2 linked regions of the Oryzias latipes genome follow. The protein of the gene in region 1 purifies or fractionates together with the protein of each later gene. This does not show direct contact. Links are inferred from orthologs where the notes say so. Each region holds a gene or a part of one and is shown in the gene's direction. Other genes may lie near its edges.

The links. The genes of interacting proteins can lie anywhere in the genome.
Region 2: the proteins of mlf2 (region 1) and bag2 purify together in Homo sapiens (affinity purification with mass spectrometry; 4 studies listed by BioGRID and IntAct, with this or other methods). This does not show direct contact. The link is inferred for Oryzias latipes from reciprocal best matches to the Homo sapiens genes MLF2 and BAG2.

What each region holds. Positions count from the first base shown.
Region 1 is NC_019874.2:20,418,088-20,425,716, forward strand, and holds the start of mlf2 (myeloid leukemia factor 2), read left to right. Parts: upstream 1-2,779; 5' UTR 2,780-3,051; coding exon 3,052-3,095; intron 3,096-4,084; coding exon 4,085-4,193; intron 4,194-4,304; coding exon 4,305-4,340; intron 4,341-4,686; coding exon 4,687-4,740; intron 4,741-6,017; coding exon 6,018-6,146; intron 6,147-6,381; coding exon 6,382-6,541; intron 6,542-6,658; coding exon 6,659-6,870; 3' UTR 6,871-6,874; intron 6,875-7,194; exon of another isoform or gene 7,195-7,209; intron 7,210-7,629. Other genes in the region: cell division control protein 42 homolog, read right to left, coding at 1-31.
Region 2 is NC_019873.2:24,428,306-24,435,887, forward strand, and holds bag2 (BAG family molecular chaperone regulator 2), read left to right. Parts: upstream 1-3,612; 5' UTR 3,613-3,766; coding exon 3,767-3,888; intron 3,889-4,030; coding exon 4,031-4,140; intron 4,141-5,321; coding exon 5,322-5,716; 3' UTR 5,717-6,310; downstream 6,311-7,582. Other genes in the region: E3 SUMO-protein ligase ZNF451, read left to right, coding at 1-1,401, 1,485-1,559, 1,676-1,741, 2,352-2,392. UniProt on the Homo sapiens protein: Co-chaperone for HSP70 and HSC70 chaperone proteins. Acts as a nucleotide-exchange factor (NEF) promoting the release of ADP from the HSP70 and HSC70 proteins thereby triggering client/substrate protein release.

The sequences.
Region 1 (7,629 bases):
CTCCTACCACTACGCATTTTATAGTCTGCATCTATTAAGAAAAACACAAACAAACAGGAGAACACGTCAGTGGAAACAATGCATTGCACAGACAGCCAGTCTGAAAGTGGGACGGAAAGTAACACAAAAATACCCGGGACTAATCTTAGCTTAAAAATGTCAAACTTGACTTAGCATAACAGCAAATGAAAACATATAAGAAAACTGGAAAACATTTGCAAGAAACCAAACATGAGTTATGAGGGACAGATGATAGTCATCACTTGCTGTGCATTCATTTCTGGCAATTATTTGGTGAAAATATATGATCAAAAACTGCAACTAACCCTAATCCACTTGACATCTTACATTTGCACAATTTGTTTGTAAAGCATAAATAATCATGAATAAACTTATATTTTTAATCATTTGCTAATCTTAATAAATCACAAGTCAAAAACTAACTGAAAGTTAAATAAATATCAGATATTATACTTTTTTTTAATGCATATTCAATGGACTTTTAATACATATTCATAGCCAGAATACTATTTAAGTACATGCATTTAGTGTTGATTTTTTTAACATAAAACACCATCACAACCAAATAAATATACTTTAAATAAATGGTTAGCTACCTAATACTCATGTTCTAATAAACATTTAACCGTTTAAATTTACTAATAACGTTATAATTACTTTTTATATGGGAATTTTTACTACATAAAAAGTGTTTACTGGATTTCCTTAAGTTAAATCTGTAAGATTTCACTACTGTGGAGACAAACAGAAAGAAAAAACTCCAGCGAGGACAGCAAAATACTTGTTGTTACATGCGCAGAGAAAATATTACTAATGTCAGCCAAAGGCTTCCGCATAGCAAACATACCGAAGACGCTTTAGAAAGAAGTTAAAAGAGGGCCCTTTACCCAAATGAAATTTAAAAGCGGATGCTGCCAACACTTCCGCTAAACTAAGCTGTACTTCATCGAATAATCCTTTTTTGAAGCCTGCTACATAATAGTACCGAAAGACAGAGAATGTAAAGGTTATTTTACCACGAAAAGTTCGAGTTGAAGGTGATTTCATAGAAATACAGAGTTAGTGACGTTATTATCGTAATTTTCATCTTAACTTAAAGTTAAACCTATAATAGAGTAAACTATACGGAACTCATATGAAACAAAACAAAAACGAAATAGTTAAGTATAGGCTGGTTCAAAACTCGAAATTATCACTATTTTAAGAACTTAACACAGGTAAAATTAACTAAATTGAAATTAACTAACTGCCCAACACAGAAAAGGAAACGTAACACCTTAGGCATTTCTTTAACAAAAACGAGTCTCGTCATTACGAAAACATTATCTTCATATGAAACTGCTAATTATGAGTTACAACAGTTAAATTAAGTAAAAAATACCTTGATAAGAATTGTTTTTACTTCATCAACCCACCGTTTTTCTTCCGACAGGTTAGGCGTTGGTTACATCCGGGTTTGAAGGGTAATATATTCCTGGCGCATGCGCACATCACATGAGCACATGAGGAAGAGAAACCACTGGAGCCAGCTGATATACTGCCTCCTACTGGAGTAACAACTAAAATCTCAATAAGGTTTTGTCTGAGCTGTTTAAGAGCTGTTTATTGTTATGTTATCTACTTGAGCATCGGTAAAAGATGTGGTGCAGTAAAAAATTCTGTATTTAAAAAAAAGCTCTTTCATTTAAAAGAAAATATTTTTCAATTAAGATTTGGACATTTACTTTTTCTTTTTTTGTTAAGTAGCTTTTTTAAGTATTAGAAATAGTTTTGTTGTAACATGTTATTTTTCTTTAAATGTGCTACTACGTGAAGTAATAGCAGCACAATGGCTGTGTTGGCAGATAATTGCATAAAAAGGTCATTATCTGGATCATCCAGGACAGAGATTTTTGCCAGGAAGTGATATTTATATTTAGCGTTTACTGCAAGCTCACTATATGCTCCAAATTGCCTAAACCAAACTTCAAAGTGCTTAGTGGATGAAGATAAGGTTTTGAAATATCATTTTACAGATCACACATCTGCTGCTTGCAATGCTTATAAAACAGCAGGCATAATGCATGAAGACGTAAATAAGATTTTGTTTAATCCAAAAATTACTTATATTTTAAACCATTAAAAATAAATGTTTGAATTGTAAATGGAATTGGTCCATGCATACTCAAAATATTGGCATTTCAGTTGAAACCCAATATTTTGAACATAATTCTAAAGGATGAAAAAGAACATAAAAGGGTGATTTTCACTTTTTTAAATTTATTTTCAAAATTTCTTTAAGGATGTGTAGATGTCAGATTTCATATTTTTTTTAAATGTTGTTTATTTTCGCAATGCCATAGATTTTTGATGATTAAACATGTCCTCAGTTTATTACTCGGTACTGTTGTTCTTTTTTGTTTTTTTATTTGACTTTTTTTGACAGTCAGAATTTTACATTTGGTCTAGTAAATATTTGAAAGATCACGTTAAACGTCTTTTTTGTTTAGTTAACGGTAAAACTTTTGAGATAAAGCTACTTTTACTTGCATTCAGTTTTTGAACAATTAATCATTTGTCCTTAAACAAATATCACCCGTCAATGCAACTCTTCTTGGAAACTTTAAAAAAAAATACACATCATATTTCAAATTCAGTTAAATCACTACATATTTTAACAATGTTACAAGTACAAGTATTTTTACATAGTATTTTATATTGTCATTGCAAAATACTTTATTTTGAAAAACAGAAAGACAGGAAGTTGAAAGTGAGGATTGACGCTTCCTTGACAGCAGCGTTGCTTCCCCTTTGTCAGCGGACTGGCTTCCGTTCTAATGTTTGCTCCAGGTTTCTGGAATGTACTGTGCAGAGACTCTCATCCATAAGTTCTTGTGATTTGCTGTAGTTTCAGCTGTCTGGTTTTTGCCAGAGATCTAGTGGAAGATCCTGTTTTCCGTTGTGACTTGAGCGTGAGTCGGTTTCTGTAAATTAACGAGTTTTTACCTTGGCCGCTGGCTTGGTTCAGCCAGCTGAGTTAAATCACCTAGCATGTTTCGCTTCTTAAATGACGGGGATGACGAGCTCTTCATGATGTGAGTACCGACTTTTATCACGCTGTGTCACCCTTTTTATTTGTCTGTTTTGGAAGTTGTGTCTTAAAATGCTCATTATGAATGTCCCCGTGCCTTGAAGTAGCGACTTTTCGCCGTTCTAGCCAGCTGTGCAGGGGGCCTGCAGAGGTCCACCATATTGGAAACACAATAACAAGAAAGAAAAAACTGTCACTTTTATCTCTTGAAAGAATAGTAACGTATTCATCTATCTGAAGCGACACAAATCTCTGCCGTTAAGCTTATTTCATTTAATATTGTTCACACTTTTCTCGAATTTTCCAGACATTTCAGTTTCCGCATATTTAGAACGGTCCCCTTCGTTCAATGGAAAATGCAGGCTAATGGAATTTGCCAACAAAAACCCTCGCGCGTGTTAGACTTCGCTAACATTTACAAATTAAAAGCTTTTAAGGGTTTCTGAAAAATAAACATAATTTATTAGCTTAGGTAATGTAATGTTTGGTTGACATAAAATGCAGGATGAAAAAGGTTAATAAATGTATTTGAATACTATAAAATAAATCGTATGAACTTCAAATTACTCTGAGATCCTTTAATTTATTTTGTAATAATATTTTCTGTGGAAATTATATGGAAAATAATCCAAATGATAGTTATAGCATTATCAAATTTATTATTATTATTATCTAGAGGAACTTTTTGGTTGGCATATAACAATCCTTCTTTGAAGGAGCTGTTGGACTGCTTAATAAAACGTGTAGGTGTTTTGTTTTTGGCTTTTTTTTTTTTTGTCATACTTCTCACACTACCCCCTTCACTCAAAAGTAGTCACAAAATTTTGCAGGTGTTGTTTTCATTTACCAACACAAATTTTAGCTTTATGCTTGTATTAAAAATAAAATAAAAAAAAGACTGGTGAATTGATTTGAGAACAATGACACAAGTGTTTCCCTTATTTAGACTTAAATGATATATTTTAGACTTATAATTCACCTTTTATTTTGCAGGGATCCCTTTGCAGCTCACAGGCAGCAGCTGAGTATGATGACCCCATTTGCCATGGACCCGTTTGCTCTGGTTCCCCAGATGCACCCACACCGTGTGGCACGCAGACAGGTGACAGACCGCCTTGCGGATAAATTTAGAATATATTTTTACGTCTACCTATTATATTCTTTTGATTAGTATGATCTGCTTAAACTGCTAGTTTTATTGTTTTTGTTTTAGGCTGGCCCTCTGGCTCCCTTTGGCATGATGGGAATGGTGAGTTTTGAACTTCAGTAAATCCATCAGTGGACAATTTTTTTTGTCTAAAAACAGATAAGGCAACTCTTGTCAAAACATTAGAGCCTTTTTCTTCTCTGCTATAGTTTAAAGTTGATTTCAAAATTTCTCTTTTGTTTATTTGTTTTTCTGGATATAATGGGGCCATTTGAAGACATTTTTCCCTTTGAGAAAAGATGTCATTGTTTTTAAATAGAGCAACATAAAACATCCCATTTCCACCTGGTATTTTCAGGTTCTGTTATATTCGTATTAATAAGAGGAAGAGGTAGGAGTGCTGGATTAAAGCAGATCTCAACATCAGCCAATGTCTTACTGTTTGCAGGGAGGAGGATTCATGGATATGTTTGGCATGATGGGAGAAATGATGGGAAACATGGTAAGTCGTTTTTGAACCACGTCCAATAAAATAAATAAAAAGAGTATAGTATATAAATAGTAGGGGCGTTCGGTAAGAATCTGGCGATATGATACATATCCAGATACACGCCCTACAATACGATACATATCGCAGTATTGTACCGGAACACATTTTCTTTCCTTTTTTTTTTTTAAGTGTGACTTCATTTAATTATCACAATGTTAAGCACTGCAATTGTATCTCATTTACAAGGTGCTTTTACCCAAGCAAATTCATAGTGCTTTTATTTTGGTAACTTAAAATATATTTGTTCTTAAAGGGAACAGTCAACATTGTCTGCTTTTTACAACAAATATTTTTCAGTGTAAGAAAAAAAAATAGAAAGACTGTGCCTTAACCCAACAGGGTTCTAAAAGTATGATTGAGGAAATAAACTGCTGTTTATTCAAAATATTTCTTAATGTAGCTTCTCCAGAACTTTTAAACGGTTCAGGAGCCTGAATGGTGCTTCAAAACTAAATGAGAAAAAAAACCAAACACCAATTTTTTCCAGAAACATTAAGTGTGATGAGGCAGCATGACAGGTTGAAGGAAAGTTGCTTTAATGTGGCTAAGATGCTTTATTTACATTACAGTCTGCACTGGAGCTGCAGTTCTGTTTTCTCACACGAAGTATGAGAAGTAAACATGTATTTCACCGCTTATCAGAGCGTGGTACACATCACTCTGATCCATCGGGTCGCTGAACTAAAATCTATTGCTGTGAGGTTCCGCAGAACCTCGGCCCGCTTTGCCGATAGCATTTTGGCTGGTGCTCCATGCATGAGCTGCTGTGCAGCTGCACTTCTTCACTCGTTCTTATCTGAGCTACAAAGCACCGCAATCCACAATATTGTATGATATTGGCAGCAACATGGCACAGATTTTCTGTTCAGTACCTATAGCAAGTAAAAACTATGGAGTGCATGTCTCGTAACAACAAAACTAGCTGCATCTTGCTGAGATCTTGTAGTTGTTTTGTGCGGTGTAGAGCTGCTCAAAGAGGCTCATCCTGCTGGCGGTGCTGCCAGCTAGTGGTCGGATGTTTAAGTAGAAAACAAAAGTCCAGACGCCAAAGATTGCTCATAAAAATTAAATATCGTCCTGACAGCATTTAAATCCATACAACTATTGTCAAATGAATATCGCAATGTATTGCCCAATCGATTTATTTTTTCTATTCTTTTTTTTCTCCTACACCCCTAATAAATAGGATTCAGTCTCACCTTGTATTTATTTATTTTGTTTTCTTCCAGGAAAGGATGTCTGGCTCACCAAACTGCCAGACATTTTCCTCTTCGACAGTGATTTCTTATTCGTCTTTAGACGCAGGAGCTCCTAAAGTTTATCAGCAAACCAGTGAAACCAGAACTGGCCCTGGAGGGGTAATGATGCGTTTACAGCTGTTGGAGTGTTAACATTTTAGATGAAATGAGGAGTTGGCCACAGATAGTGTTGTAAATAATAACATGATTGGCTTTTCTTCTCTATTTGCACATGAATATATTTATAGGTGTAACAGCAGTAAATATGTTGCGTATAATCTTACTATTAGAGGTTTATACTGAAGTATTGTTTATCTGTAAAAACATTAAACGTGTCCGTTGATCTGACCCTCAGATCCGTGAAACCATGCAGTCAGTGAGGGACAGTGAGAGCGGCCTCGAGCGCCTCGCCATCGGTCACCACATTGGGGAACGTGCACACATAGTAGAGCGTTCGCGAAATCGCCGCACTGGAGACCGCGAGGAACGGCAAGACTTTATTAACCTTGATGAGAGTAAGTTGATCTCCAAGTCTCACAGTCTCATCATGTTTTTGGATATAAAAAATTCGCATTTAAGATGCCCATGATGTCATCTAATCACCAAAAATATCTGTGCTTCAATCTTGCTAGGTGAGGCTGAAGCTTTTGATGTGGAATGGAGGAGGGGGACAGGACGATACGCCTCTCCAGGTGCACGTGCAATTGACTATGGTCAAGATCGGCGTGCAGGAGGACAGCAGCTGGCTCTTACTGCGCCTCCCAGTTCAACGTCCCCCCCAGGTCATCGACATGAGTCCCCCAGACACCGCCAGCCCCAAACCCGACCCCGCTATGACTGGTGAGATGGTAAGTTGAACGTAGCACTTTGAGTTGTCTCTATGGGAAGTGTTTTTATTGTAGACACACACACTAAAAATCCTTTTTAAGTTTTTACATTTTTTTAGATTAATGCATAAAGTATCTTTTTCTTGATTCAAGTGCGTTTTTGGTTTTTGCCATTTTAAATAACCACACAATTAAATGTAATTAAATTGTGACATTAGAATCAAAGTTTCTTCTTCATAATTAGTTTCCTTTTTCATAACAAATCTCAAATTCTCCACAGTAACAAGGGAAATAAATCAGGCTTTTATTACCTTTCAGTATTTTATGTTTCCTTTTTTCAGTTGTAGGAAACAGCAAGTAAACTATGGAGTCCTATACTGTTCATAATTAAATAAATAAATATTTAATTCAATAAATAAATATGACGTCATGCAAATACACAATCAACCAATAAATCTCTCATAAATATATAAAAAGATCATGAAATTGTGAAAAACCTGCACACTGATTTTAAATTAGCCATTGTATTATTCAATATATTTCATTTTGCTTTAAAAACATGTTCATTATTTTAAAACAGCATTTTAAAAATATTCATTTTAATCATGTGGAATATATTATAATTTTACGTCTTTTTTCAGAACCTCGGATTTCAAAATCAATATTTTCCAAAGTAGCTTTTATTTTTATTTAATGTTGCTGTTTTTCACAATGGCTGATTTATTTCATGAAGAGCTTTTTCAGGAGAATGGGTCTGTCTGTCAATCAAACTAGAC
Region 2 (7,582 bases), on another chromosome or scaffold:
CCGTGGCCAAGGCAGAGAAAACGGTAGTGGAAGTCATGAAGCAGCTCCTGGTAAAGGGACAGTGCACCGTCTGCTCTAAAGTCTTTTTCACCAAAGCTGAGATGGAGAAGCACACAGAATCGACGCAGCATGACGTTGAGGTCAATCAAACGGTGGTACAAGCTCTTCTTCAGTACGGCAGGTTCCATAGAGCACAGCAGGAGCAGAGGCGTTCCTTTCAAAAAAGACCCCGGGAGGAGAAGGATCGGGGTGAGGATTCGGTCAAGCAGCGGAGGTTGACTCCAGGTGTGCATTCCAGCAGTAGCAGAACCTCGGAGACCGCGTGGTTCTGCGAGTGCGGCCTGCAGTTCCCGGAGGAGGGTGTGGCCACCAAGCATCTTCTGGCCGTGAACCAGATTTTCCACCTGTGTGGCGTGTGCAGCAAACTCATGGGAGAGTCTTCCATCGCCAGCCTTCACATGAGCCGCTTCCATGGCGGAGCGCACCTCTCCAACTTCCTGTACTTCTGCAGGAAGTGCAACGTTGAAATGCCGCGATTCGAAGACATCCTGTCTCATGTGTCCGACGTTCACAGAGGACACACCTACATCGCAGAGCAAGAAGTGCCTGACGATCTCCAGGCCAAACCCTCCACCAGCAGCGAAGCCGCCACGTCCTCTTCCGGCAGATCCAAGGTCCAGCAGAACACCGTCGAGACGTCGTCCTCCGTGGCACGCGGCCTCACCTGGATGTGCAGGATGTGCGAGGACGTCTTCGACTCGGAAGTTGCCATCCGCAAACACTGCAGTGACATCAGCAGCCACAGCTTTCAGAGGTTTATCTGTGGACACTGTCCCCAAAAGTTCTTCAAGGAGTCCACCGTGAGAAGACACTGCACGAACGAGCACGGCGGGGACATAAAGAGTTGGTACTTTTGCGGCCTCTGCGACAGCATGCAGATGGATTCTGAGGCCGAGCTCCTGGAGCATTACCGGAGCCTTCACAGCAGGGATTACTGCTGCATGGACGACGCCGACGTTCTCCAACCGGCTGCTGCGATGCTTCCTCTGGACTGTCCCTGCATGTCTTCAGAAGGCAACAAGGAAACAGTGACGGGGGTTTATACCAGATGCATGAAAGAGTTGGCTGCAGAGGGGAAATGCCAGTACGTGTGTCCTCCCTGCAGCGTGTCCGTGCCAACGTACGCGCAGATCAAGACTCACGTGCACACAAAGCACCCCAGCCTGAACCTGGACAAGACATTTGAAGTACAATGCAACATGTGTCACCAGAGTTATATGGGTGTTCCAGGTTTCCATAAACACTATCATCACTGTCACTGCACGCTAGAGCCCTGCAGGAGCTCCAGGAAGAGCTCAGAGGCAGAGCCCACTCGTGTGGAGGTCAAAGCACACAAACGCCGTAAGTTCACCAAAGGAGGCTGACTTTAGCGTTTGTGTTTGGAGACTGCAGCACTTTTGATTCCAGTTTTTCATGATTCACAGAGATCCAGGATGAAACTCTGGGGAAGTTTCTGAAAGACGATCAGATCAACAACGAAAGAGATGAAACTGCCATGGGTAAACATTTACAGTAACGTGTCATGAATAAACATGACGGAGTTGAAGTAATTCTATCAGTTTGAAAAACCATATGTTTGATCCGATTAAAAAATCAGTTTTGTTGTCTGTTGCAGAGACCTCTGATGATGAGATGAAACACGCTCTGCCTGTAAGTGCAGAAGAAGCCAGAGAGTCAGCAGGTCTGTTTTCACAACAAAAAAAAAAACAACCTTTTTTTCAAAAGCTATAATAAAAAAGCAGTAATTATTAGTTTAGTACAAACTGTATATTTTAAAATGTAAAAAGTTTAGAGATTGGTATTTTTTATAGATCATTGTTTTTGTAAAATGAGCCAACATGTCAAAAAGATTTGAATGTTAAGACCTACTACAATGAAAATGTTTTTTTTCCAACATGTCTTCTAATGATGGAAACGCATATTAAGAAAATTAAGCTCAAATTTGCATTTGTAAAAAAATAAAAAGTCATATTTGTGTTGTTGAAACTGCACTGGGCGGCCCACAAGCTCCCTGCTTCTAGCGCTCCGAAAGGGAAAGGGGGCGGAGTTGCTCCGTGCCAGTGGTCCCGCCCACAATTCAGCTCTGCAGAAACTATGTCCTAAGAAAAACAACACAGGCTTTTTTTGTATTTTGACTAAAAGCAGCATAAACGGGATTAAAAGATCACTTTGAAAATAGCTTCAAAGATGATCGGAGTGGGTCTTTAAAATGGCCTCTGCTGTTTTTATGTTGTTTTATAATGGAGTGTCATTTTCAACTTTTTTTTTTTTCTTGTTTTTCTTTCCCGCAGAGTTGGAGGAAGCTCTTCAGAGAAGTCTTGTGGAGTTCTAAGTGCTTTCTAAATGAAGTAGTTCCTGTTGTTCACCTGTCACGTTGACCTTTTTTACTCAAGGTCATTGTTTTCAGAAGTTATAAATAAAAGTCATGAATTATTTGAATTGATTTACTTCCTTTAGCAGCCAAAGTCAGCAGTTCTTGGGGCAGACAGTGGGTTTTAAAGCTAGTTAGAAGCTGAGGGTTTATAAAAAGTCAGACGTTCTAAACATTGAAGCTATGTGTCACGTGTTCACACACACACACACACACACACACACAGGATTGTGGTGACACAGCTAGATGCCTGGGCTGACCTCGTGACCGCAGACCAACCGCTCCTCCACCTCTCTGGTTTCACTACAGACGTGAGGATTCTCTTTACCGGCTGCTCAGACGTCAGAAATGAATGAGCAGAAATTGTATTTTTTCTACAGAAAAGTTTGTATGAAACATCATTACATGAGTTCAACTTAAAGAAAAAGGTTTTTTGTGTAAAAGTGTGAGTGAATAACAGGGACAGAACGGTTTTCCTAAAAAGTACTCTCTGTGAAAATATTTTTCTTTAATAAAGATATAATAACGGAGCATGACGTTTGGTCATTGAATGTTACATTTGATTATTTTGTTCGGAGAACAGAAAAAAAAAACAGTTTGGAGACCTGTTGGTTGGTAAAATAGATGGAATCTATCTTTGTGGCTTGAAGCAATAGAGATAATGGTAACAAGCACCTGTCACCTCATCAGCGCCCCCTAAAGGTGGTTTTGTTACATTGTGTCTTTGCTTTTTTCTTTTAACTAAAATGATGAAAAAGTGCCACTTGTACAAATTGATGAGAGTTGCAAATGTCATGTTTAACAAACCTGTATGAACTCTGCAAAAATATTATTCAAATCATGCAGAAAACAGTTATTGGACAATACTATTATTTTATATTTACTTGATGTATTCGTCTTTTAGTTTATTTTTATTTTCTAATCAATTTATGACAATTGTTTTTTTGCCTCCTAATTATATAAAAGTTCCAGAAAAAATAAGCTTTCTCTCCCCCTGTTCCCTTTTATCTCCCAGATATAAAATCTTGTGTAAAATAAAATCTGTTGTTTTATGGAAATTCAAATAAAGCATTTTAAAGCTAAAGCGCTCCTCACTCAGAGCCCCCTGTTGGAGCCCCCTGTCTGGGTTGGAGCCTCCTCTCTGGGTTCCTCGGGAAGTTTCTGTGAGGAGGAGGAAGAGGAGGAAGCTGAAGCCCATGTTAGGAAATGTTGTCCCAGGGGCGCTGCTGCCTGTAGCCTGAGGAATTACTGGTCAGGCGGAGAGCTTAAAGCGCCGCTCACTCTTTGGATTGACTGATCGGACTACAGAAACTCGGCACTGCAGCACTAATTATTATGGCTCAGGCGAAAATCCAGGCGAAGATGAACGAAGCGGTCTGCAGCAAGTTCAGCAGGACACTGTCCATGGCTGATCGCTCCGGAAGACTGCTGGAAACTCTGGATCAGCTGGAAATCAGGTACAATAACGGGCCTCGCCATGCGCGTCTTCTTTGGAGGTGCTCTCGTTCGTTTGACACTGTGGCGTAACTTTAACAACTGAACGTGATTGGAAGGAAAAAGAAAAGCTGTTTTTTTTTGACGGATGTTTGTTTTTGTCAGGGTGGAGGCTTTAAGAGAAACAGCATCCGCCCTGGAGCAGGAAAGAGAAGGCATCCTGGAAATGATTCAATCCATCCAGAACAGTCAAGAAATGCGTAACATCTGTGCGGGTGAGGCTGCTAATTCTCTCCCACAACTTACATAAGAGCACAAGTCATCCGCTGCTTAATACCAGTGAAGAGTGGCTTAACTTTCCAGTAATCTTAATTCCTGTTTTTTGCTACTTTGATCCTGTGGTGATAAAAGGAAAACTTTGCGTGATGGTCAAGAAACTGAAAAGAACAATGTGCTCCACCCAAAATGCATCACATGTCTCACCCATAGAGGTCCCATTTCACCTCTGTGTCTTTCTATTAAACCCTCTAAAAGGAACACACTATACTTCTGAGTCCAACATAGCAAGTTTACTACAAGATATAAACTTTTTTTCATGGTATAAGTAGAAAGAAAAATTCTGTTCTTTTCATGGTACCATATTATATTTACATATTCAACATAAGTCCACACATTTTCATGAATAGAAAGGAACAAAAAAAATGAAATTCTTGTTATATTTCTGCCCCTATATCAAATCTTAAAGACCCACTCAGGAAAATTGTGTTTTTGGTGTTTTTAACATGTTGTTGTGGTGTTTTTCTCAAAATGCAGGACATATAGAAAGAAAATTCAGCTCATATTTCCATTTCGGTGTATTTCTTTATTCAAATTGCAAAAGCAAAAATGCCATTTGAAAAAGCTTGTAGGTTTGACGTAGAAGCTAATACAGCAGACCACAAACGTCCTGCTCTTCTCTGCTCCATTCTGATGCATCCACTTGCGGACAAATAGATCCATGTAGGTCTTTTGTTTTCCTCATCCGAGTTGGCTTCCGGCTCAAAGCTGGACGGATGGATATCTCCATTCTTGCAGGCCATTTGAGTTGCATCAGTAATGTTACGTTGGGGTTATAAAGGGCTGTAAATTTGCAGGAGAGCGTTTAAACACATAGATGTCCGGAAGCAAGGGTGGGCTTACTCCACGCCTACGGCCCCACCTACAACTTAGAGGCAGATTTCTAATGAATTCCTGCCGCTCTGCAGAAATTATGTCCTAGAAAATGACACAGGATTTTTTTATTTGGGCTAAAAATGGTATAACTATAATTACAAAACCACTCGGAACACTTTGGAAATAGATCAAAAGACGATTTATTAACATAAAATACATCAAAATAAATGAAATGAGTCAAAAACAGGTTAATAATAATATTTTTTATGACAAATTAAAGCTCTAATTTCCTTTTCTTCTGCAGGAGAAAGGGAAGAGTTGAGCTTAACTGCGAACCGTCTGATGGGCCGGACTCTGACGGTGGAGATCTCCGTTGGCACCATTAGAAACCCCCAGCAGGAGGAGGCCCTGCGGAAAGCCACATCCATGATTGACGAAATCGTAAAAAAGTTGCTGGTCGACATGGAAGGCGGTCGGCAGCAGCTGATGGCGCTGCACGCCGCCTGCGTGACCGAAGCACCGCCTGTCCCCATCGATCAGAAGTTCCAGGTTGTGGTGATCAGCTGCTCTTTGGAGGACCAGAAGAAGATCAAACAGAGGCTGGAGACGCTGGTGAGGAATGTGGAAAACGCTGAAAAGAACATCAAAATTATGGATCATCAAAAACTGGAGAGTGCAAAAACCAACTGCAGTAGTTAATAATCATCACCAAAGCATGAAGGGTGTTTTTGAATTCCACTTTACCTCACAAAGGAGAGCTGCACAAGCATGACTCTTAGGGATCCATGCATTGTAACCAACCCTGAAAAGTACACTGGTACACATTTTTTTTGTAAAAAGGTCAATTTTTACTTTAAATTTTACTACACCGACATAGCTAAAGGGCACACAGTTCACAATGTATGTTCATCAATAAGCCCAAGAAAGAACAAATACAGATGCATCACAGATTGAAGTTCAACCTTTTGAAGACAATATATAATTTTGAGCACATTTTGCAGCAATTCAGTGCTCTGACATATGAGGTGATTGACAATGCAACAACCAGTATTTTACCAATACTGTGATCGTTAACGTTGAAAATAAAATTACAAACATGTCAAATGAAACCACCTGACAGGAAGTTCGTGGAATTTATCTCAGTTGTAGAAAGACTTTTTATTTGTCTTACAGTTTTAGTTGAAAGGATTTTTGACACAAACTCTGTACGCCTTCATCTTCTGCTGTTTTTTTTTTTGTTACATTTTTATGAAACACAAAGAAAGAAAGTCAATAAAAACTGTGAGAAGCCTCTGAATATGCAGTTTCTTGTTTTCACAAATGGGGAATCCTCCTTTATTTTGTCATTTGGTTTGATAAGAACCTAAAAGCACATGTACAGTTCATAAAATTGCACAAGTCAATGCTTACAATTGGGAGAAAATATTAAAAGTTGTTTCACCATCATGTATGTAGTAGCACAAGGAAAATATGAAACTTAAAAAAAATTGTGATGATGGGACAAAAGCATTCAAAAAGAAAAGAAGGTTCTGTAGCAATTTTGAAATATGTTAAAGTAAATCAGTTTGATTAATTTAATATTATTTAGAACAGAATTATAAATAATAATGGATTGGATTTATGTGCGCTTTTCCAGACCCTCAAAGCGCTTCCGTTGTGTCCATTATTCATTCACTCTTCATTCATGGTAGAGGTGTGGCTGCTAGTATGCAGGGCTTTCTGACCATCACCGGGATCATTCATGCACATTCATGCTGGTAGGCAGTAGCGTCAAGGGTCTTGCCCAAGGACCCCCACTGAGTCATGGTAATTGCTCGCCATTGTTTATATTTATGTATCATTGTTTATTCCCCTCCTGCATGGCAGCCTTCTACCTTACCAACTGAGCTACCCAGCTTGTTATGAGAAATAGGAGCTATGTGGTGGCACAGTGGTTAGTGCTGTCACAATGGGTGGTTTAAATCTTGCCTGGGTCCTTTCTGTGTGGACTTTGCATGTACTCCTGGTGCATGTGTGGGTCCAACAACATGCTCAAAGGTTAAATGGCCTGTCTAAATTGCCCCCTGGTGTGCATGTGAGTGTGTGTGGTTGTGTGACCCTGGAACAGACTGGTGACCTGTTCAGGGTGTACCCTACCATCACCCAATAGTAGCTGGGTCCAGCAGCCCCAGCTTCCTGTGTTGTTTGGTCCAACAGATCAAATGTCACATTTGCTAATGGAAACACAGATGCCACACCCTTTTAACTAAAGCGAACCAAACTTGTGAGAAACCTCAGAATATTTAGAAAACAGGAAAATATGCTGTCATTACCCGAGAACTTTGTAGCAGAGGAAGAACATCCTGCTCCGGATGTTCACACAGCCGAGATGATAAAGCAAGAATACTTTGAATGATTTAGGATGCAGCACTCAGAGTGGGAGAACGGAGTGTCTTTAACCCTTGTGCTATCCTAGGCACTTTAAAATTGGGAGTGGGGTCATCTAGACCCCACTAGACAGTGCACTGAACCGTTTTTCTTCAATGATTTGTGATCTTCACTGTTGTCCATGAATCACATAAAATC